3 linked regions of the Oreochromis niloticus genome follow. The protein of the gene in region 1 purifies or fractionates together with the protein of each later gene. This does not show direct contact. Links are inferred from orthologs where the notes say so. Each region holds a gene or a part of one and is shown in the gene's direction. Other genes may lie near its edges.

The links. The genes of interacting proteins can lie anywhere in the genome.
Region 2: the proteins of mink1 (region 1) and strip1 purify together in Homo sapiens (affinity purification with mass spectrometry; 3 studies listed by BioGRID and IntAct, with this or other methods). This does not show direct contact. The link is inferred for Oreochromis niloticus from reciprocal best matches to the Homo sapiens genes MINK1 and STRIP1.
Region 3: the proteins of mink1 (region 1) and strn4 purify together in Homo sapiens (affinity purification with mass spectrometry; 3 studies listed by BioGRID and IntAct, with this or other methods). This does not show direct contact. The link is inferred for Oreochromis niloticus from reciprocal best matches to the Homo sapiens genes MINK1 and STRN4.

What each region holds. Positions count from the first base shown.
Region 1 is NC_031975.2:11,260,896-11,268,330, forward strand, and holds the start of mink1 (misshapen-like kinase 1), read left to right. Parts: upstream 1-3,918; 5' UTR 3,919-5,280; coding exon 5,281-5,337; intron 5,338-7,435. Other genes in the region: pld2 (phospholipase D2), read left to right, coding at 1-91, 319-436, 551-775. UniProt on the Homo sapiens protein: Serine/threonine kinase which acts as a negative regulator of Ras-related Rap2-mediated signal transduction to control neuronal structure and AMPA receptor trafficking.
Region 2 is NC_031970.2:21,898,838-21,907,054, forward strand, and holds the start of strip1 (striatin-interacting protein 1 homolog), read left to right. Parts: upstream 1-4,833; 5' UTR 4,834-5,009; coding exon 5,010-5,120; intron 5,121-7,555; coding exon 7,556-7,625; intron 7,626-7,728; coding exon 7,729-7,803; intron 7,804-7,900; coding exon 7,901-8,035; intron 8,036-8,122; coding exon 8,123-8,217. Other genes in the region: S-adenosylhomocysteine hydrolase-like protein 1, read left to right, coding at 4-82, 247-367, 527-533. UniProt on the Homo sapiens protein: Plays a role in the regulation of cell morphology and cytoskeletal organization. Required in the cortical actin filament dynamics and cell shape. Part of the striatin-interacting phosphatase and kinase (STRIPAK) complexes.
Region 3 is NC_031979.2:21,854,174-21,862,790, reverse strand, and holds the start of strn4 (striatin-4), read left to right. Parts: upstream 1-5,233; 5' UTR 5,234-5,581; coding exon 5,582-5,902; intron 5,903-8,617. Other genes in the region: ribitol 5-phosphate transferase FKRP, read right to left, coding at 2,224-3,813. UniProt on the Homo sapiens protein: Calmodulin-binding scaffolding protein which is the center of the striatin-interacting phosphatase and kinase (STRIPAK) complexes.

The sequences.
Region 1 (7,435 bases):
TGGAAGATGAAGAGAGGGTCCCATCCATAATGGGAGGGGAGGAATACCAGGCAGGACCACTGACACTCGCTCTACGCAAAGAGTGCTTCAGGTCAGGGCAAAAACCTTTTGATGACTTTTTAGCAACTTACAGTTTAAAGTAGTGCTTGCTACCAGGTGTAAATGAGAACAAGAGAGACATATAAGTATAGGGTCTTCTTTTTACCAACAGACAAGCAAAAATATTTGCATGCATGGGAAACCTGTGCAGTTTTGTGATTGCTTAACCATATTGTTTCTGTTATTTGAATACTTTTGGCCTTTTCTCCGCTTTACCAGCGTTCTTGTTGGAGCTGCTTCAGACCCCAGTATCAATATTGATGATCCAATCAGTGATGAGTTCTTCTTCTTGGTTTGGAATGAGACAGCTAAAAAGAATGTCAACATTTATGACAAGGTGTGGATTGAACCAAAACTTTTTTTTTTTACATTTCTAATTGTATCAACATGTATTTTCACTTCTCTCACCACTTTTTGTTCTTCTTGGCTCTCTGGCCCTACTGTACCACAGGTGTTCAGGTGCCTGCCCTGCAACAAAGTCCGTAGCATGCAAGACCTGAAGGACTATTCGAATGTGGCTTGCCTCTGCGAGACAGACCCTAAGCAGGCCAAAGAGGAATTAAAGGCCATCCGAGGACTGCTGGTCCATTTCCCCTTAAAGTTCCTGTGTGAGGAAAACTTGCTGCCTCCACGGAACACTAAAGAAGGCATGGCTCCTTCAGAGCTGTGGACATAAGCAGCAGCTCAGCCAGGTTCAGACCACTACATGACAGTGCAACAAATGCTGTACTGCGGCCATCTTTCTTGTCGTTCTAGTTCACCTAATAGTCAGCACAGGACACAAAAGTAGTTATAGCACCAGCACTTGAATGGTGAGAGGTGGAGGTGGAGTGAGGTAGAGAGGTGTTACCCTCACCAAAATTTATTAATGATCCAGTTATGATTACTTTGTCTTTTTGACTGACAATGGGCTAATGTGACTGACGTAGCCACGGACATGCAAATTTTACAATGATCTGTCTATATTAGGTTGTGCTGACCAATTTGTTTGTGATGTCTGCTTTATAATGTGTTCAGTGCGATCTGATCTGCATGTCTGGCGGCGGTGCAGAGCACAGATAAATGAATGTATGAGTCAGGAGAGGATTGCAAGGTTGTATTAGAAATCAAGCATCTCACATGATCTGGGAACATAGTGTACATTTATTGGTGCACGATTTTTGGGTGGGTGGGTGTCTCTCTCTCTCTCTCTCTCTCTCTCTCTCTCTCTCTCTCTCTCTCTCACTCGCTCCCTCTGAGGCTTCACCTCTCACTGCAGTGCCAGAAAATCTGTCAGAACATTTGTGGTTGTTATGGTGACGGATATAAAGAGATGACTGGATTGTAGCTGAAATAAAGACTGGATAGGGCAGAATAGGGAGAGTGCTGATAAGAGGTACAACTTACTAAATCAGGATGGTGCACTGGGAAAATGGAAGCTAATATTCTGCTAGGGCTGCTGACCATTTCTGGATATATGATCAGGTGGCAAAACTGTGAGAGGGGAAAGAAAAGCAGAACAAGATAATTAAAGGGTGTTAGGTTGATTTCCTCCTAATTGTTGCATTTTTTTTTTAAGTCTCCATGACACCCTAGTGATTTTTTTTTTTTTCACCATGCTGTCGACAGTCCAGAACAGAACATTCCACTGCCCACTTGAGACCACTGAATATCTCAGCTATTTTTATGTTGCGTCCAGCATCTTTCATGTGTACCGTATGTTACATTTGCTCACAGACATAGCGGTTTGTGCAGGTGCACGCTCACTTGAGTTGTGACGTGATGTCGTTTTCACGTTCTCACTGATTGCCATTTTGGGGCATCACAGGGCTATTTTTTTGAAATGTCATTCCCTTGAGCTGTGACCAAGCCGTGACTGCTGTTGGGAAGTCTTTAAATGTGGATACATTTGTAGCATTGCTGGTGAAAATAGACAGGAAACCTTCCCTCTTTTGTGTCATTGCATTGACTGAGATATCATGTAATAATACAGCAGTAAGGTACAGTATGTGCCTTAGAAAAACAGGAATTGGATTCTAAGGGTTGATGGAAAACCAAGGCGAGGGGGAATGTACATTTTTCTGCAACTTTAGATTGTGCATTCAGGCAAAACTGTAACTCTTTTTCAACATTTGAGCGCTGGGCCAAGTTTTAATTACATGCACTTTCATCACAAGTTTTTTACAGGAACAAACAGCAGAAGGGGACATAAAGGCCAGTCTGTAAAACTTGTGAATGGGACTCTGTTTTATATTCCCAGCCTTGTGCTAGTGTTATGACTACTGTGTGTGTGTGTGTGTTCTGGGGGGGGGGTTGAGCCCTGGCACATGTTTCTTTTAAAAAGACCAGATAAAAGATGACCCGGAACAATGCAATGACAGCAAATCACAGTTAAGTGAATAATGCAGACTGTCGTATGAGCTTCTGACACACACCTATGAGTGAACAACATTACCTGGGCGGTTCCACTGCAAAGCTGTCTGTGAATGCGACAGGCGCCCCATGCGACCAAGTCTACATGAAGTGTCTCTCACAGGATTGTTGTTCAATTAAAGCATCTGTGTTTAGAAATATGAATACTTACCTATGTAAGATATTAAAAGACACTAGAAGCCCTTCCATATATGTATTTGCTACCCTCTTTCTTGCGGCCCAAAGTGGTTGTCTTAACTGGTGTTCCTTTTAAGTTCTGCAGAAATGCCTGTAATATACCGAAAAGTGACCTTATACTGTTTCTCTCATGAATTGTATTTTTAAAAGACCAATAATCAGCATTCCCAAACCACTTTTATGAATTTATTACTCATTGAAATGTGTTTGTGTTCGTCCCTGAGAGTCACTGTGTGAAACCTTGTCTCTGTAGATCAATGTCATCACCTTATAATTACCAATGTATAGGGTTACTAACACTCAGGGGTAGAGAGCGATGACGAATATTCTTAGTCTTGTTAGTGCAATTATGAGCAACTTGTATTTTACTCTGTTTTTTTTTTAACATGAACTTGTTTTTTGTGGCTCCGAATATCTACTCTATTTGAAAAATGGACTTTTTTCAGCCTTCTCTTGTATTACTTTTGTAAACGTTAGTGCTTTTTTAAAAAAGTAAAGACTGCATTCAAACTGGATTTAATATTTAAAAAAATAAAATTTTCAAATGTAGTGTATCAGCATGCATTTCTATTCTGTATGAAATCTTAATGCAACTAAAATGACTGTTTAGACGTGTCTATCACATGGCAAGAGAAACAGAAAAGGGGAAATGTTAATTGTTTATATCTAAACTACTTTTGTCACCATGGAAGCAATATCCTTTGTTAGCTGGATATCCTTTAAGCAAATAGTTACTCTGAGAGAGAGAGCATGTGCTTTACACAGGAAAATGGTATTCGTGGCATGAAAGCTTAATGTTCACTAAATGACTAATGCATTGTTCAGGTTATTGCCATACAGTCTGGGGTTTTTTTTCTTTTAATAACAGTCAGGTGCTTATCTAGAAAAGCTTTGGAACTGATTCATGCAGTATTGACAAGCACTATAAAGGTGAGCTTGCTCTAATGGAAAACTGACTATAGCAATCTCCAATCTGCTGGATGACGCACACATAAAACCAAGACGAGGAGAATATTTGTTAGATGTGGCCCTTATTACCAAAATCTGCATTGTTTATTCAGCAGTATTTTAGCCTTAAGCGTGTGTCCAGTGACCCAGAAGGCCAGAGCAGGACAGGTATGCCCAGGAATGATCTCAGCTGTGCAGCTCAAACAAGATAGAGGCAGCTGCGTAGGCTGAAGTCCACTGTAATTTCGGGTAATTTGTCCCTGATGAAGCACCGTAGCCAGTCGAGAAGAGAAAACACTTCAGGAGTGTTGCGTGCAGCCAATCGTCAGTACAAACCCAACAAGACTACATCTAGGCTGCGAGTGGGAGGGAGGAGTGGACTTGGGAAGCAAAACATGGCGAAATAACAAGTTTGGCGGCTATACCGCAGTTAGAAACTGCACCGATTCTGTCAGTGGCGGACTATGACTGCAAGTTCATAAAATCTGGACGCCGGAGATCGACAGCAGCGCTCAACTTTGAAGCGTCGAGTGCTCAGGCTTACAAGTATTACGGTGGCTGGCGACAACACAGTGCCTGCTCGTCTGCCCGTGTTTTCCCCCGGAAGGTTGGCAGTGCTAGGCGCGACTGTCAACACAGAAAATGGATGAAGAAGGAAAGGGAAAGTTTATTCTGGAAAAGACAATTTAGCTCGCTAGCTTAGCTGCGTTAGCCAGCCGGCCAGTTAAACATTAGATTAACCGCACACACCTGACTCGGTATTCGGATTATTTGTGCGCTCTGGACGAAACCCGGGGGGCGAATTTAAGTCGCGTTAACAAGTTTGACAACTGCAGCCGCAGGGAATCGCATTTGAAACGAGGCCCTTTTTTTCCATTTTTTTTTCCTCCCCACGCTCCTAATCTGTGACAAAATCCCGGGAGGTTTAAGGCCAGCGATGAGAGCCTGACGGTCGGTTCTGGTGCGGTGCGGACGGACCCGGGGACGCCATCACATCAGACGTTGCGTTCTCAGTAAAACAATCACTGCGCTGCTAAACCGTAAATAATAAAAAATAGCATACTTTATCAGTGTAAGTAGGAATGTTTCAGTGGTACACAACACCTGTCTGGTAGTTGTTTTTCTTCTCCCCCCTCGGTGACACGCATCGGTGTATCATATGTGAGATTAGCTGGGATGTTGGAGAGCAGGGGAGAAGCGGCGTCTTGTCAAAATGAACGCAGCAAGGTGTTCAACAACAGCGGAGGTGCTCTGCATTTGAAACCTGCCAGTTGTTAGATCGATATCAAATGGGCGGCTAACAGCGACGTTGACAGCCTGTCTAAAAAATCCTACTTTTTAAGTTGCATGCGATTTGATTAGCTGTCGCAGGCGGCATTTCTGTAAAACAAGTGCGAATAACATTTACAGCTTTCGGCCAGAGTTGACGTGAGCTAGCCAGCTGGGTGCGTCTGTCCGCTCTATCTGCGATGCATTTGCTAATCTAAGTGCTACAGCTCCTGCGTGTTGGACCGCCACTTTGCTGTATTTCCTCTGGGTTTAGGCCGTTATAAGCTCGCGTGATCGGCCGCTTAAATCCCCCTTAAGCACTTCTTGTCAAATAAGTGGCTAACTTATTAGCTAGCGTGATAAGTTTCGCCAGCTATGTCTGAAAACGCCCCCACAAGAAGCCTGGATGACATAGACCTCGCAGCTCTGAGGGTGAGTATTGTTATTACCAGATAAGTGAATTGTAAAATGATGGCAGACGGACTCATTAGATGTTATGTCATATGCCAGTTCGCCTCAGACACAAGCACGACCATTGAACACCCACGCGAAAAAAGTTAAGGTGGGATAAACATCAATCGGCCTGCGTTATAGGCAGTACAGTCTGTACACAAATCCTCCAAGTATATGTTGGGATTTCTCCCTTAAAGGACCACCTTACCCAGCCCTGACAATGTTAATTTGTAGGTTGAGGGGGAAGAAAAATAAGCACCAGTATCTATAAAACACTGGGCCACTGTGTGATTACATCATGTAATGGGAAGGCTGGTTTATTTAAACTACATTTTGTCTTCTGGTGGTATTTTCTTATGGAGGTTTATGACTCCATAAGAAAAAGGCACATCTTTCAATAACTGATAACATTCTAATATTGTAATATTGTTGATATAATGTAACATATCAGACTGTTTGTGAAGAAATTAGACCTGGAGTTTGTTCCTTTTGTATTTTAACTGGTGTCCCATTAAAGGTCCCAGTGTGAAAATCCTACATCCAACATTAGAAACTCTTTGAGAGGCAAGAAATCTGTCACGTCCCTTTTCACATTTCTCCCCATCACTATGGAAGCTGTCAAGAACATGCAGTATTTGATGTGGCAGTAAATCCACTTAAGACAGACCAGCTTTATGTGTGTGTGTATATATATATATATATATATATATATATATATATATATATATATATATGAAGAAGTGTTATAATGCATTCACTCAGTGCTTGTTTGAGAAGAATCTGTAATGTCTAATGTTTGACTGACTTTTGAATCCCCTTCTACAGTTAAAGTGATCAAAAGGCTACCCAATAACTCCAATTCAAACTATGTTTAAAATAATACCATTATTTTCTTGACAAAGTAAGAGGGTTTCATAAGATTCCCTCTGAAAAAGATGAGGAATTTCTAGTATTTCAGTGTAGCTCTCACATGGTAATGGGGCTAAACAGATCAGGATATTTTACCCAAATACTGATTGTTTGGGCAGGTTTGTCCTGTTTCCCTGACCTTCTTCTGAGGTTTCACCTAGAAATTTCACCTAAGCCTTCACTAACAACACAGGCAGATGTGACCTAGTTTCTAAAATTTGTAGTAATGATTTAATCTTGCAGTTCATTTAGTAATAATTTATTGTGTATTTAAATAGTGGATCTAGTAATTTAGGTAGCAGTTTGCTTATAAGAACAGTTGGGTAGGTGCAAAAAATGGCCCAGGGTTTGTTGCCCACCACAGCTGAGATGTGGAAATAAATAGTAGTTTGTTTGTGATTCTATCTATGGCTGGGTTTTCCACTGAAGAAAACTGACCGTGTGATGGCTGTGGCTCAGGTGGTAGAGCAGGTTGTCCATTAAATGCAGAGTTGGTTGTTTGATCCCTGGCTACATTTCCTTGGGCAAAACACTGACCCCCAATTGATCTCAATAGCATGACAGCTCTGCTACTATTGATTAATGAGTGAAACAGAACCTGTAAAGATGTGTCTTAGAGAATTTATACTTAATGCTGCACTAGGGAATAGTGATTAAGCAGGTCAATGACTAGTCATTTATTTTTAAGGTTAAGTTACTGGTGTGTTTGAACAGGGTAAACAATATTAATTTACCTAATTTTTTTCACATCTTAGAAGTTGCGCCACCAAAATCTACATGATAAGCCATCAGAATAAATAAGTGTCAAATTGTTTTTGTAGTTTTCTCAAATGACAGTTATATTTTGATATTTTGTTTACTGTCATTGTAACTCATTATCACTCATATATTTTAATTTGTCTAAAAGGGACATTGCACTATTATAAACATGAGCGTGAAACCCATTTAATGTAAATATGCCAGATTTAGCTCTATAGGCTAATTTTCCTCTGCAATCCATGGCAGGTTGATAGCACTGATCAACATTAAAAGAAAATCATCTGTGTGTGGAAAAACAAACAGAGCCATGTAACATACTGAACAGACATTAAGTACCACTTATTGTATAAAACTCAGAACAAAAAACAAAAGTAGATGCATCACAAAAACATAGAAGTATGCGTCAGAT
Region 2 (8,217 bases), on another chromosome or scaffold:
CAGGCTCTGGCACTCATCGAGCTGTACAACGCTCCAGAGGGACGGTACAAGCAAGATGTTTACTTGCTTCCCAAAAAGATGGGTAAGGATTTAAATACTTAACCACTGCCTGTATTATTTACACGTTGGAAGCCGACAGGCATTATTTATGGACGGCTGCAAGAATGGAGTGCATGAACTGACAGATACACATCTTCTGTGTGTGCGCCCATTTCTTTCTTATTAAAGGATGTCTTTGTTTTTCAGATGAATATGTTGCGAGTCTGCATCTGGCCACGTTTGATGCCCACCTGACAGAGCTTAGTGACGAGCAGGCAAAATACCTGGGTCTGAATAAGAATGGCCCTTTTAAACCCAATTACTACAGGTACACTTTTGCACATATTAAAATTTTGAAATGGGGAAATATTTTGAAACTTTTATTAACTTATTGTTATTGCACTAGGTTGTTTGCCAACACATAAACATTTTTTAAGAATTGTGTTTCATTCACATTATCTGTTTTTGTTGTTGTTGTTGTTCACAGGTATTAGTCTGTCACCTGAGAACAACAGCATGTGGACGGTTCCTGATTAGTACCCGACTTCCAGGCAAAATAATGATTTGTGTATTGTATTTTTTACCCTTCATGGGATGCATAGCTCATTTACTTGTATTTTAGTGACTGTAGAAAGTTTTGCTGCTTTACCAATGGCACCCAAGCTGGCTATGAAAAGTGAGGTGTAAGCACTCTGCTTATGTGAGATAACACATGCAAAAAAAGGAAAATATATGATTTTTTTTTTTTATTGCATGTGTTTCCATTCTGAAAGCTGTTGAGTATATCAGCATATTGTGCCAAATGACTGTGAGAGGAGGGTTGTGGTTGTTCAGAAATATTAGTTGTTAAACATGTTAAACCCACACGGAGCACTATTTTTGTATAATCATTCCCTCCATGTACTGCAAAACAGTCACTTAAAATGCCAAACCCAGGAATCTCAGGAGCTTACTGTGCTTTTTATGCACTTTTAGCTCCTTGTTTTGGCATTCTCATCAATATTGTGCTTAAAACTGTTTGCAGTCTTTTCCTTAAAAAACAGATAAGCCAACAATTGCAAAAAAAATGTGACATGATTTAAACTCCTGGTTGTTTTTGTTTTTTTTCTATCTCAGGAGTAGGTGGACCAAATCGGAGTTGAAAGGCCAGTCAATATGAGACTTATTGTTACTTTTAAACTAGCCAGTGATTTGGCATTAATCAGATGTCAAATCAGTTTTTCCTGTGTATCTGCTGAGTAGGCAATCGTTTGCTTACAGATGAGCCATAATAACCTGATGAGCTGACTGTAAATCAAAGTTTTGTTCCTCTGAGTATTTTTACTGTCCAGCGGTCAGAAATTGCTCTGTGCTGCTTTAAACGTTTCTTCCTGCTTTGATATTAAAGCACTTAATCACCTTATACATTCCATACACAAGATACACTCCTGTTGTAGTATCCTCACAATTAGTGCTAACCTTCACTGGGCCTAACAGAAACATAAGCGCTTGTTGAGCAGAGTAAATGTAAGAGCTTGTCATATTTTTTTCTTGAAAAAGAACTTGTCCATTTATGAGGTTTTGGTGTTTGGTGAGAGTTATATCTGTACCTCAGGGCATTCAAATATCTCTAATTATTTGTAAATATATGTCAACGCATCTGCACTATCTAATCTTAGTATTCATGCGTAATCAGTTGGTTTTGAATTGAATATTTACAGCATGTCTGTAAATTGGAGGGATATAATCATGTCTGTGATCCATGTCATTTGTCAGGTTTAGCTGTTCAGAGTAAATTGAATTTGGCGGTTATGTTACATACAGCACATTTATACTGTACATACAGCAGCCTCTGATGAGCTGCTCTCGTAATGCCGTGTCTTGTTAGATTTGTCTCAGGACTCTGTTAAAGAATGCTAACAACAGAAAAGTAACTGTCGTTTCCTAAATGCTCTGGGACTAGACACGGATGAGCTTTGTTGTATTAGCTTTACCTCCTGTTATCTTGTGGTATTATAGTTATTCTAATCCAACACAGTATGTGTGTTTCCAGAAGATTATGATCATTTTAAAGGCTTACGCACTGTGAGGCGTAAATGTTTGTGAGGCTTGTTAAATGCAAATTCACATTTACTCTGTTATATTCACATGTGATATTTTTTTAAACAGTGGGCACTTTGGATGACTGAGTTGAGCGACTCATTTTATGTCTAAACTAGGTATTACACAGATAGTTGTATCTTGTTGAACTTGCAGCTCTTCAACACATTTCATTGTGCTGTACGAGAGGATGGTCGCTAGTCATTAATTCTTTACAGTTGACAGCACTGCTGTTCCTCTCAAGTGTTTGACACCTTGTTACCATTTTAAAGTAACGCTCCACATGACTGAGGATCCTGTTTCATCACCGCACTAAGCATAAACCTGAATTTATAGAAACTGCGTATTTCATTTGTGCAGTAATTTTCAATTTTAAATGAGCAGGCTGCCCCCCCCCACCTCCCAGTTACTCCTGTTGTTTATTGAATAGTAGCCTACAGTGTGCTACTGCAAAGTGCTTTTCATCTTTGCACTAACAGCTTTAAGGGCATTACAGCCAAGGAGGACATCATTTTCAGTAAAAGGAGTGCTGCAACCATGGTTACTGATCAGTTGACAGTGCCTTGTAACTCACTTAGTAATTTATATTCACATGGACCATCTGTGCGTTTTCCTTTTTATCCATGTTGATGCCCGTCACAGTTATTACCCTGCAATATACAGTTATAGCTATGCAGCAAAGAATCCTCAGCCTTTCTTCTGGAAAAGTCAGTGTTTCACAAATTCCATAAAAAGTTATGCTAATAATTACTGTAAACAGTTTGAATAAGCAGCATTTTACATTCTGATATTTACCTTTTACATTTATTGTGATGGGTTTTTTAATCTCTATGTTCTTGTAATAATGGTACATTTACTTTCATAATGGCACTCGGAAAATGCTTCGCTTTATAACTAATAGTGACAGTCACTTTAACCTAGTTGTTCCTCTGTTATAGAGACAAATGAATGTTATATTACTGGCACAAACAGCTTGACTTTTGTTAAATTGAAGTTAATCAGCATACCACTGTGATTTGGAAGCTGTACATTGTTACATTTGAATACAAGGTTGTCTACATTATATAGTACCTATAATGTTTGCTTATTTTTCAACTTTGTTTCTAGTTTGTTTCATAATGTCAACTGAATACAGCTTGTTAAATTTCTCTTCACTTTCTCCTTTAATAAACTCCAGTTTAAATTTGAAAATGGCTCAGAAACATCATTTTCCTGCAGACAGACAATAAGCTTTACACAATTTGATTGAGTTTAATGTATATAGCACCAAATCACAACAACAGTTGTCTCAAGGCACTTTATATTGTAAGGTAATGACCCTACAAAGAAAACAGAAAACACCAAAAATCATATGACCGCCTAGGAGCAAGCGCTTTGGTAACAGTGGGAAGGAAAACTGTCTTTTAATAGGAAGAAACCTCCAGTAGAACCAGGCTTGGGGGGGGGGAAGGGGAAGGGGAACCATCTGCTGCAACTGTTTGGGGATGAGGGGAGGAAGACGAGACAAAAACATGCTGTGGAGAGCCAGAAATGAATACTAACTAATAATTAAATGCAGAGAGGCATATAAACAGATAGTGAGTGTTTATTCGCTCACTAAGGCCACAGGCAAAAATATGTGGGTAACAGTGACAGTGAGCCAAATGGAACAATAATTTTCTTTATTCTGATTGAAATGAACACACAATTTTATTTAGGCATATGTCCCTAACTGGGGTGACTGTATGCCAGGTGGAAGAGCAGGTCATTTCTAATTGCAAGGTTGGTCCAGTCTGCATACCAAACATCCCTGAGCAAGATACTAAGTCCAAGTTGCTTCTGATGCATCCATCAAAGTATAAATGTGTGTGCATGTTGGACAGGAAGCACTTACCTAGAAAGAGCATAGGGGGGAAAAAGTGCTTGTATGAATGGGTGAACTAGTTGTGTAAAGTGCTCAGAGTAGAGAAGCGCTGAATAAGAACTAGTCCATTTACCATTTAAAAATAATGTAATTATGATGGTTACAGTTGTGATTAGAAATTTACATCTACTCATCATGGGCATGAATGATGCGGCAATTTGGGGCTTTTAATGATATCCTGTGAACAAGATTGTAGAGCATACATCTTTAATGACTTTACAAAAACAAAAACTGGTTGCACAAGCTTTTATTTATTTGGGATTTTCTCTAATGCACACAGGGTCAAAATATTATCGTCCCTTAGTAAATTGCACTTCGACCAGATGCTTTCGGTAGACATAAACAAGCTTTTGACATAATTCTGGCCGAATATTAGGCCACTCTTGGCAGAAATGTAGACTTCATTTAAATTGGTTGGTTTCCTGGCTCTTAAGTCAACAAGAGCCAGGAAACAGGACTTAGCTCGGGGCTTTGGGAAGTCCCTTCCAGTAGCTAAAAAACCCCTCCCAAATAAATAATTTAAAACAAAAAAATTACCATCACATGCATGCACCATGATAAGTGAATGCAAACCTCTGACCACACCTTCATCCATAATTTAAAAAAAAAAAATGCTATTTATATATTTTCTTTAATTAAAAATGTTTTGGAGAATTTTAATCATCTTTAGATATTTATCCATCACGTAGAAGAGAAGTTTCTGAGTAGTCCCGCATTAATTCTACAGTACGACAGATCCTGTGAACTTTCTTCATCCAGAATGATACCTGCAGCAGGCTCTGCTCCGACTTCTGATCTCATCATCATGGCGTCAGTTCGGGATTACATGAAGAGGCAGAGAGAAATTCATTTCACACAAATTCTCCACAACCACACCTCGGGTCGCTGCTGCGGACCTTCGGACAAGATGCTGCGGATGCGCTGACGGGAGTTCGACTGTCGCGTTCCATTTCGCATCTCGCGAGAGTTCACTGGGCCCCAAAAAATTATGGACGTCGGTGGAAACGGTAGTGGGCTGCCTGTAAACAATAAGCAGAGAGCTATGTTACCTAACAAAACCAGGGGCGAATTTACCCGCAATCAAAGAAAAGATTCAGAGGTACGTATCCAGATGCTTATGGTTGATTTCCAGCGTGTATTTTTTTAGCTAAAGAGACGAGGCCTTTCCTGCTGCTAGTGTAAAGTTAGCTAGCTCTGTCATTGTAGCCCAGTTAGTGTTTCTAACATGATTCGGGAGTTAAGAGCAGCAAACGACCTTCATTACGGTGTTTGTACGTGTACTTAGCTGTACGGTGTTCCGTTTGTTTTCCAGTGTTAACACATTGAAAAGCGAGCAGGAGACAGCTAGCTGACGTTAGCCGGCTACAGGCCAGGCTTGTGTATGTGTCAGGAATCTAAGGACCTGTTGAAAACTGATTGTTTAGGTCCTGCTTAACACATTTAATCTTTCTAATGCGACAGTCGGCTATGACAGTGTAATTTTACTGTATATATGCAAATTGGTCACTCATCTGTGTGACGTTTAAAGAAAACAAGCTGAGTGTTTCCGTGTAGTGGTTTAAATAGCCACTGGAGACAGTCATGGCAGCACTGCTTCCCTGTCTGTCTTGAAGAGGTGTATTATTTCCAGTCTTTTCTTGAAAGTAGGCTCACAGTGGCAATAGTAAATCCTCTTGTGTTTAGTTAGAATAGAATAGAATAATCCTTTAATTGTCCCACAAGGGGAAATTTGGTTGTATCAGCAGCAAAAAAACACACATATACAAAAAGAACAGGACACAGAACAGAAAACAAAAAACAAAAAACACAATTTTTACATATTTACATCATGGACAATAGTTACCAGAGCAGAGTACAGTACAGTTGTTAAAATTAGCGTACAGATAGTGTGCAAACAGAGCAGGATACTGAAAGATGTTTAAATAGTTAAGAATATTTAGAATAATTAGAAAAGTGCAGATTGTGTATTGTACCTGTGCATTAAAAAGTAGACATGTAACTTCCAATAAGTTAGTGTATATATAAGCTGAGAAAAGTAATGTGCAGTTATAACAGTAGAAGTTGTTACAGCACTGATGTAAACATCTATGTTTGTTGGGAGCAGTTTTGATTGTACAGTCTGACAGCTGCAGGGAGGAAGGACCTGCGGAAACGCTCCTTCATGCATCTAGGATGCAGCAGTCTGTCACTGAAGGAGCTCTGCAGTAATGCTTCATGATGGCAGCCTCAGTGTGTTACTGTTGCTTTCAGTGTTGCAGCTGGTACACATAATATTGTTTATTGATTCATAAACTTTATATTACAAATCAGAAACTACATTAACTTGTCTGAAATGTAAATTATAGAATAAAAGATTATAGAGTTGTCAGTAATAGATACTCAAGTACAAGTTTATTACTACTACTATTGGTACAGCTTTATAATAAACAGTGCCCAAAGCGGTTTATGTAACCAAAATATAGTGAGGCGTTAAAGTAACTGACATCAGCTGTGCACGGTGTTTATGGAGAACTGAAAATATAATTGACTGAGTGTTCCAGAACTAAGTAACCCAACAAACCAACAGTGTCATGAAGAAACTTTCCAAAGAGAGTAAGCAGACTGAAAGTGGAGGTTTTATAACCTTCACCACTCCCACCACTCAGGTGCACTCAGTCTTAAACAGGACACAGTGCTATTACAGCAGTGTTTGATTGCATCTTATTTGTTACTTTGTGCTCCTGAACTACTTTAACAGTATTGCTTGTTGTTGCCAACCGGATGTTTTTATACCTTATACTGTGCTTTATAGGCATGTATAAGGTGGAGAACATGCCTGATTAAAAAAAAAGATGTTAAAAGATGTAAGCTTTGTTAGAGAGTAGCTGCCAGCACAGAGGAGTGTTTCACCTGTAGCTAAATACTAAAATGTGGGGAAATGCAGCTAAATGCATTGACTCAAGTACTCTACAAAGGAAGATCATAGTGATTATGATGCATTGCTGTAGATAAAACAACCCAACAAAAATGTATTAGCTCAACCAGCGTTATCAGCAGTAAAAAGCCTCAAAAGACATTAATGCGGGAGAAATATTAATCCAACAGTAAAATACTAACGGGGGACATTTTTACTACACACTTGAAGTACAAGTTACTGACTTACATGTGTTAACATAAGTGGGCTTTTAATCCAGAAGGTTTCCTAGTCAAATTTATTTTTTGATATTGTAAATTATCAAAATGCTACTTCCACCACTTTCTCTTAGCAAGAGTCACTTGGACATTTTGGTGCTTTGACTCTTGATGATGTTGCTGTTGTTATGGAGAATTTTGGAAAGGAAATTAAATAGTACTAACTAAATACCACCACTTATTAAATGAGAAAATAGGTTTTTATGTGTTTGTGTGTAGAGTTTGGGTAATGTGACTTCTTAACATCAGTCGGATGTGATTAAATTTGCCTTGGATTTATTCATTAATTCATTTAATTAAATTTTTTTTTTTTTTTTGTATCCAGTACCTCTCTGTCTAACCTCTGCAGTGTGTTGTGCACAGGGGCAGTCTGAGTCTCCAGATCTGGAGTTTGAATATTCGGACACAGATAAGTGGGCTGCAGAGCTGTCAGGTATGTGTGTGTGTGGGTCTGTGTGTGTGTGTCACACTTTAAGAACCTGTAACCACCTAAAAATGTGTGTATATTATTTATGAACTCTTCATGTGTGTTGCAGAGCTTTACAGTTATACTGAAGGACCAGAGTTCGCTCTTAATAGGAAGTGCTTTGAAGAGGAATTCAGAGTTCATGGTAAGCACTTAGAATATACATACACGTCAGCCATACAAATAAAAGATGAAGCAAGTATGCATCTTAGTTTATTTTCTTCACCTCTGCTGTGGCTTAGTGTCTGATAAGAAGTGGACAGAGCTCGATGAAGCTCAGCACAGAGCTCACGCTATGCGCCTGTTGGACAGTCTTGAAGTCACTGCCCGGGAGAAAAGGCTGAAGGTTGCCAGAGCCATTCTCTACATGGCTCAGGGTCAGTCCATCACACGTTTCCACGATTTCAAGTAAACTAGAAAATAGTTTGTCTTCATGTACTGTCTTCTTTTTTTTCTGTTTTTAGGGACCTTTGCTGAGTGCAGCTCTGAGGTGGAGGTGCAGCACTGGATGAGATACAATATATTTCTGCTGCTCGATGTGGGGACCTTCTCTGCTCTG
Region 3 (8,617 bases), on another chromosome or scaffold:
AAGCTTCAAAGACATTTGTCATATTTAACTTTGTAAATGCTAATAATTCCAAACGTCCTTTTTCCAGCTTCAACTCTTCTCTTAGCAACTTGTTGGATTTGGATATTTTTAGTTATCACAATCTCTTCTATTTGGTGTGAGCTACAGTTTTAAATGTATTTTTTTACTACTTCTTTTAAAAAATGTTTATATCAGTGGGGAAGACTTAAGGCTCTGGAGACAAGTCGTTAGATCATTGATGTTAAAGAGATACTGTCTGGTGTGGCGATGTATCGAAGAGAGCAAATACAAGTCCGGCTGGCCTGGAACTGACCCCCTTCCCTAATAAACGCCTGGCTATTGAAGTACCCAGATACGGTTTTTAAATTAATGAAAGTAATATAGCACAATATTATATTTTTCCATCCATATCAACTGTTAATCACTATCTTATATAGACCTGAGTAGGGCAAATACTGTTAAATCCAAAACCAGATATTTTTTTTAAGCCCGCTTTCCTTGTCAGCCTTTTCGTTAGCTTTACAGAATTTAAAAAGACAATCATTTAACTGCAAGCTTGAGGTCTTAGCATTTCGTATGTCATGAGAAATTTTTTTTTTTTTTTTTTCCTTGCTTGTTCCTTTTGTGGTGCAAGATTACTTCCTGAACTCTTCCATTATGTGGCTGTCTGGCTTTGTTTGTTTGTTTAAAGTGGGCTACGATTGTAAAATAACTTATTGTCTGAATGTACTGTCAGCAACCTTTCAGCAATAAATGTTTTTTATATATATAAATAAGAGGATGTGGCTTTTTGTTGACAATAAACCCTGTTTTTAACTCTTACTGCAGAGACTAGTCAGAAGCACACAGTAATACAAATCAATAAAGACACAAAATACTTTGTCTTTATGTTTAGAGATTGTAAAATAATGCAGCCTCTCACTGATACATAAGCCTACATTAACCAGGCCATATATGAATACTAGAAGCAACAAAACTATGTAAACACACCTCTAGGGATACAATATGTAGAGCAACAACATGGGAGAGGCTTGATTGTAATGCTAGTTTGCGTCACACGTTGGGTTTGTGATGAACATGTGAGCCGTGTTCCTGTAGAGTTGCATTCCTGCCTCTAGTGAAACACTCCACCCTTTGGTCAACACAGCACTTGGTGTTAATTTGGTGTGTTGCGCCATCTAGTGGCAACTGCTATTTACAAAATACATGAAACTGTTATTCTTTTATTGTAGAAGTACTTGAAATGATTTGACACCCTAATACATTAGATACAGGAAAAACTACAGAAATCATGTGGCAACCAGGGGAACTGAGTAGTATACTGAATTAAATTTCCTTTTCATAGTATTTATTAATATGTAATTATTTATTTGAATTCTAAGGCCTGGTAGAGCAATCGTCCATAACAGCATGAATGACACAGGTGTGCTTCTCATTTCATTAGATGGAAGTCTGCTCAGCTGCAGTTACCAGCTGGCTCTACCACAAACTAACATTCACTCATAAACTGAGACGTGCAAAACAAGGCAACAGAGTTCAAAAATCAGAAAATACCTGTTAGGCTAAAGCCACTTACTTAACACACACAAGTCTGTATAATACCTTAAATCCTGCTTAAGATAAAATACATTTTAATTTTAAAAAATCGTTTTTTTCAATTATCTACCTTTTTTTTTTTAAATTACAGCAGTAGTAGTTCAATGTTTCTGTACAACACATACACACCACAGCCTTATGTCAGTACACTAGTGTATGGATTTAAACTTTTCAAGTGTGTCTTTCAAACAAAACGCTACCGCTCAGGCAAATAAATAACGTGTGTTCAACATTAGACTTTACATCCGAACCACAGGAAGAACAATCTAAGCATGCAATACACCGTCTTCTGATACACATGTGGTGAAGGTAACAGTAAATGCAGTCGTTTTGGCACCGTATTAAACCTTTTTTCACACATGAACTCCAGAAAATGTTGAGACGATTAGATGTGGATGTCACACAGACACGAGGTGCTCGACCATTTACGGTCAGATAAGACTGTGTCGGACATTTGTGCTCTCACGTGAATCTCAGTTTGGTAATGTCTCAAAGCATTCAGGGCTGCAGTGCATGTGTGAAAATGGCTTTACTTTCCAGACAATATCTTTCACAGAAAATTATTTGAGGCAAGATTTTCTTTGTATGTAGGTAAACCTAAATGGGTCTGTAGCCCTCCGGTATGACTCATAATTTGCTTCTGTCCAGTCTCTTTTTTGCAGGGTTGGGATACTGGGGGTTCTCAATCACCCCCTCTCCAAATTTAAGTTCCAAAAAGGCTCTGTGGTTGTTAGGGCCATAGGCAGTGATGCCAGCAAAAGGCATGGGTACCAGTGGCTGCAGGAAGTGTTCTGGGAACTCCACATCTTGTTTATGTTCAGTCCACGTATCTTTGGTCATGACGCCATTACGTGGATAGAACGGCCAAAGGTCAACGTGCAGGTGGTTAGCCTCACTGTACTGGACCCTGTAGAAGTCTCCTTCCACCGCACGCTCCCACACATAGCCATTAGCATCCACCAGAGAGCCTGAGTCCAGGTTCTTTAAATGATCGCAGTTGGGTACATCCTCCAGGTAGATACCAAGGTCTACATCATAGTCCCATGGGATGATATCTTGATGGCGAACGGCGCCCAACAGAGTACCTCCCTCTAGCCAGTAGCGCACACCTGAGCTCTCCAAGATATTGATAACATACTTGGTGGTTTCCCTGAGTGCTCGCAGACAGCAGGGAGGTGTCCAGCGGTCCAGATACAGATAGTCTGGAGTGTCATCCTGCACAGTGCCAAAGCAGCGTGGTGTCTCTTTGCTGCAGCCGTACCACTGTTCCCTCCCATCAGGCAGCAGAAGACGCTTCAGACCAAAGCTCCTCATTAGATTCCCCGTGGCCTCCTTCAGTCGAGTGTCAGCCTTCCACTGGTTGTGAGCAGAGCTGAAGAGAGGCCGATGGTTTGCAGAGAAACAGGGGCCTTCCAGGAGTTTGACCTTCCAGCCTCTCAAAGAAGTCTGGATGAAGAGTGAGGAGAAGAGAGGCCGTCCAAGAGGGACAGAGAGGTTAAAAAGATCCTCGGTCCGAATGAGTACGACTGCATCTCCCTGTAAAGCTGTACATACACTCCCACTGCTCCCTGATGCAGCTGTTGAATAGATAGCTGTCCACTCTCTGAGGTTCACCCGCAAGTGGAGACACTGCACAGCAGATCGAGCCAATACGGGCGCAGCTACTAACCTCACAGGCCCTCCACCCTCTCCTTCCAACTCTCTGATTAACCTCTCAATAGCCCTTGGTTGCTCCAGCTCCACTCCATCAGGCACTAGCAGCACAAACTCTGTTTGCACATGAAACTCAGGCCTGTGAGCTTGTGGTGGTTGGTCTGGGCTGGGGGACAGCACAAGAAGCCGAGCACCCTCCGGAAGCGCCAGTGGAGGGTACGGTGATGTGTCAGCTACAGCCAGGAAGGGAAGCTCTGGCCTCTGGTGAAGGAAGGAATTAGCAACATCCCCGACATAGTTTTCAAAATGTTCAAATTCCCGAAGAAGAACAGTTACACGTGGGCCTCGACTGTGTCCCTCCACTCCAACCACTCCAGGCTCACCTCCAGCTCCTGCAAGTAACCCCCCGAGACCAGAGGCTGGTAGGGCAGCCCTTCTTGTGCCCCTGCCAAGTTCTTTCCTCTTCTCCATCATTTGCTGCTGGGCTCGGGACACATAATAGAGAATGAGGAGGTTGAGGATGATGGCGACAGTTAACAAGCCTTGACAGAAACTGATCCGCATGGCAACTAATATTTGCTTTGCAGTTTATTTCAGGAGAATAACTTAAGTTTGAATCAAGAAATCCAGTGGCTGGTCTCGGACCCCCATCAGTGTAACAGAGAGTCGCATGCAACCTGTAAATGACAGAAAAATGTTGCGTTTTGGTTCCAATACCACAGGCTTACGTGTAAATATAATGTATTGATCTGCATATGTATATCAAAATTCGCACACAGGATATTTAATTTAAACAAAGTAGTCAGTGAATGACCCAAGCCATAATCACATTCTTGTGGAATTAGGACATGACTGCCCCATGACAGGTTTTCTTTTATAAATAAAATATGTCTAGTTGCATTAGAAATGAATGAAAATAGGATAGTAGCAACTCACCTTCATCTGAATGCATCTGTTTTATTTCATATGAGACAATCGTTTGCAGGGCCATCATATCATTCAGAAGTTAACAGAGGCTTTACCAACGTTAAGCCAATTATGCCCGTTATGCTCGCTATATGTGGATTTCATGATGATCTTTTGGAGCTGGTAGCGTAGTAGCTACCGAGGTTGAATCGGCAGCGGCAAACACAGATATTAACTTGAGTTTAGCTCATATTTGTACGGCTGTGGAAGAAATAGTCTCCAATATTTTTGGAAGAAACTCACACTTAATGGTCAAAAGAATATTTCAAAAGCGCAAGGCTTAACACAATCCCAAACAAGAAACCCAGCTGCACGAATTTAGCATGAAGCTATCACGCTGTTGCCCGCAGCAACAGGACAACTTCCGGTTGGAATCCTTCAGAATAAAGCTATTCTGTCCAAATTTGGAAAAATCTATGAATTTAGCTATTTAATGAAAGGCACATATTTTACGCAATAACCGCTTCAGAGTTATCCCAGTTACCTGGCGTCTATACCTAATCTCTTACGTTTTAAAAGAAGAAAAACATATTGCTATAATATAAAATATAAGATATAACTACAAATGTTATTGCATACGTTATAAGGATATAAGCAATATAAAAAATATAAATATAAAGATGATATGAAGAAAAATTATAATTCACGTTAACTTGTTATATATTACAAATGTGTCCCCAAGGCTTTTTTATTGTTGTTTTTGGTCTATGGCTGTTTTCATTTCACAATTTATTCCCCCGCACCCACCCCCAAAAAAATCAAAGATAAAATCTCGACCGGAAATAGCATTGTTGATTATTGTAGCTAACTTTATCGTTCCCGAAACCATTCCTGCTCACAAAATGGCAGGAAATTCATTCCCCTAGCGACATATTCATTGTCTATTATAGAAAACATGGCCCTTTATTTGTCACCCGCACTGGGCATTTCACGAGGAGGAAACTGATCTGGGATCCGGGATATACAAAATAAGAGCAACAAAAAAAAAAGGAAAAAAAAGTTTACGCTTATTTTCAGGTGCATCACATTTAATAAACGCTGTCTGTTGTTACTTTATTTTGATGTTAGTTTTAAGACTGGACGTAACACTTTTTGTGAAAAGGGATTTGTTACAAAATCAACGGGGCAACGATGTTACACTGCGGTTAGATTGTGTTTTGCGCTGAAGGTTTGGAAGCGGAAGTGTATTATTTTACCAACAGAATAGTAATTTTTCTCTGTGCGTGTGAGAAAGGAAGAAAGGAGGGTAGCTTATAGTGAAGTGGAGCTGGGTTTGGAAAAGGGCACGGGGTACTTTTTTATATTTTTATTCGTCCATTCTGTCCGTTCCCATCTCATTATCCTGGCGAAAGGTTGAATAGTTAAAATGGAGGCGGACAGAACCGGCGGAGGATCTAACCCGAACTCCGGAGGCGGCGGCGGCGGCGGCAGCAGTGGAGCGGGGCGCAACCCAAACGGGCCTAAAGCAGGACCGGGCCAGGCGACATCAGCTGGTGGGACCGGGGCAATGGCAGCGGCCGCAGCAGCAGCCGCTGGGGCCGTCTCTGGACCGTTGCAGCAGTCACGGGAGCCGCAAGACGGGGAGTCGGGGATGACGCTTCCTGGGATCCTGCACTTCATCCAGTACGAGTGGGGACGCTTCCAGGCCGAGAAATACCGCTGGGAGGCTGAGAGAGACGAACTCAGGGTAAACGTATTCATCATTAAACCCGGGTTTATGTAGCTGTAACGCCAAGAAAGGGCCTGGAAGGATTTGACCGGAGCTCCTCCGGTGTCGCTTCGCGGATGTACACATGCCCTGCTATCGGTCAGTTAGAGGATGACAAAATGCTAATAAGCTAGCATTACAGTTGACCAGGATGCGTTATTACTAGACAGTAGATGATAATGTGGGAGCTGTTTGACCTCCAGTTGAAAGAAGCCACCAATACTCTTTTAAACATAAAACATTTTTGTGTTAAAAAAAAAAAAAATCTATAGATATAGATATATATATAAAGATATATAAAAATATATGCCTCCTGGGCTTCTAAGGTCGATACAGTCAATACAGATACACACCACAAGATTAGATAATAGACTTTTATGTCTTCCCGGAATAGCAAGCAAGCTATCGTGCAAATAAAAAGGTAGGCAAACAGTTTAGGTGTGGCTATCTTGTCTTTCCATATTATTTCATGCAGGTACACATGGAACTCACGCTTTCTGTCACACGTTATTTTAAGATTTTTGGCATTTTACTAGGATGTGCAAATACACGTTAGTTTGTAAGGAGACACTTATCTGATTTTTCGTACTCCACAGAGACAACTCAAGTGATCTGTGGGTGTGTTGTTGTGGTTAAAAAAATGATAACAGTGCTAACCAGCTGTGATTTCCCTTTGCAATTGCTGCATTCAAAATAATAAGTGAGTAAGCATTCCTTAACTGCCCTTACTTAAGACAATTCTCCCTAAAACAGTAGTTTGATTGCTGTAATACGTATTCATAAAATAATTTGCACAATGAGACACAATGATCAGTTTGACCTTTGAACTTAGGCACACAACACAACTAAGTCACACTGAGATGAAGTTCCTGAATGGATCATGCGTTGTGATCTGTAGTACCAATGCCTCCATACCTATGGCACACACACAAATTAGCATTTTGAGCTAGGACCAGTTACACACACACACACACACTCACACAGTCAATCAGTTGTGTGGTGTATCTGTGTCTATGTATATATGTATGGAGTAAAGTTGTATTTTCATTAACAATGATTAAAACATGAGTATTGATAAATAACAAGTGTTAGGATGAAAATTTGTAGTTGTCTATCTGCAGCCAAACTTGCGTTTGTATATTTTATCTTTACTTTGTATAGTGTGTTATTAGTGTGTGTATATAATGACCTTAAAAACAATATATCTGCCTATAGGCTAGAGAAGTGGACTATCATCCTTAAAGGTAAATGGTTTAAAGCTGTAAAATGCCCCCCCTAAAAAAAAAAAAACGAATGTGAGCTTGTGACTCTGTGCCATAGGAATTCCCATGAGCAATACCTGAGTTCCCTGAAGGTCCTAGTTATTCAGATGCCAACAGCAAAAGACAGACGTTGTACTATTCACCTCATCTGCATGCATAAAATTAAAAGGCAGAGCAATACTGGGCAAGTTTGTGCATACTCATCAGATTTTTCCAGGATTAAGAAAAGTTAGGAAAACATACAAACATATTTTAACTCTGCGTTTGGACAGTTCATCTTTTCATTTGTGGTTATCCCTCAAGTAACTACAGTGTTTTTGGTAATAAGAATGAACTCCCCTCTTGAGTTCATGAGTTTGACAAAACCACAGGAAAAAAACCCTCAAAAAACCATAAAATTTCCCTCTCCTCTGTCATTGTGCTTCTCACATTGCCCCTAACTCAAACATACATAGTTATAAATAGTGGCTTGATAAAATATGAATGAACAATAACAAACGGGCAGCGCTTGCTGCTTTTATAAAAACGAGGGATGAGTGGGAATGGAAAGCAGAAACAGCGGATTGCTGTGTCCGAGGTGCTATTAAGTGCTTGTTATGGAACTTTGTTTGCGTTTGCACATTGGCTGCACATGGTCTGGCTTCACGGGTACAATTAGCACCACGCTTGTGCTGAGAGAAAGAGAAGATAACTGGAGTGCCATGCTGAAAAACTGACCTAGCTTACATTTTAACACCCACAGGCCAAAGGCCTCTGGCTTTTGTTGCCAACTTGCTTGCAGCTCTCCTCTCACTGAGCCAGTTATTGTGCCCCCTGGTCATAACCTGAACAGTTAACATGCTGTAAATGTTTCCATAGTGTAGTTTGCTCACATGTTGCCTGCACATGGTATTTTACACACTTTATTTTCAAAGGCTTTACTGAGTCACATGCAAAATTAACTCACAATCACTTGAGATCTGTGTGACTTTGTGTGCAACCTAGTAGATCTCTTCATGTGGAGCTTAGCATGTCTCTGCGAGATCACGACACGTGTGCCGCTACTGTGACCGTGTTGGTGTGTAAAGCCACCTGTGGTGCTGTGTCTTCACTGACAGGTGGCAGTGGCTTTTGCCTGTCTATAATTCAATCACTTAAGAAGCCGCTCTGGCAGCAGTGTTGTTTCTAACTAGGCATTGTTTTTGCATGAGCACAATTCTAATTTAATCTAAAGACTATTCCTCAGATAGTCATGTATTCTACAGGGAAAAGGGATGACCTCAACCTGTTCCTCTTTAAAGTGTTCTAATTTCCAGTCATTTCATTTTATTAAGCATGTCAGTAGACGTGTAGAATAGATTACTGGTGACCCAATTTACATCACTTCCTGTTTGGTGTAAGTCTCGCAGTCCCTGGATACATATCTGTAATTAATAGCTCTGTGTACTCAGCC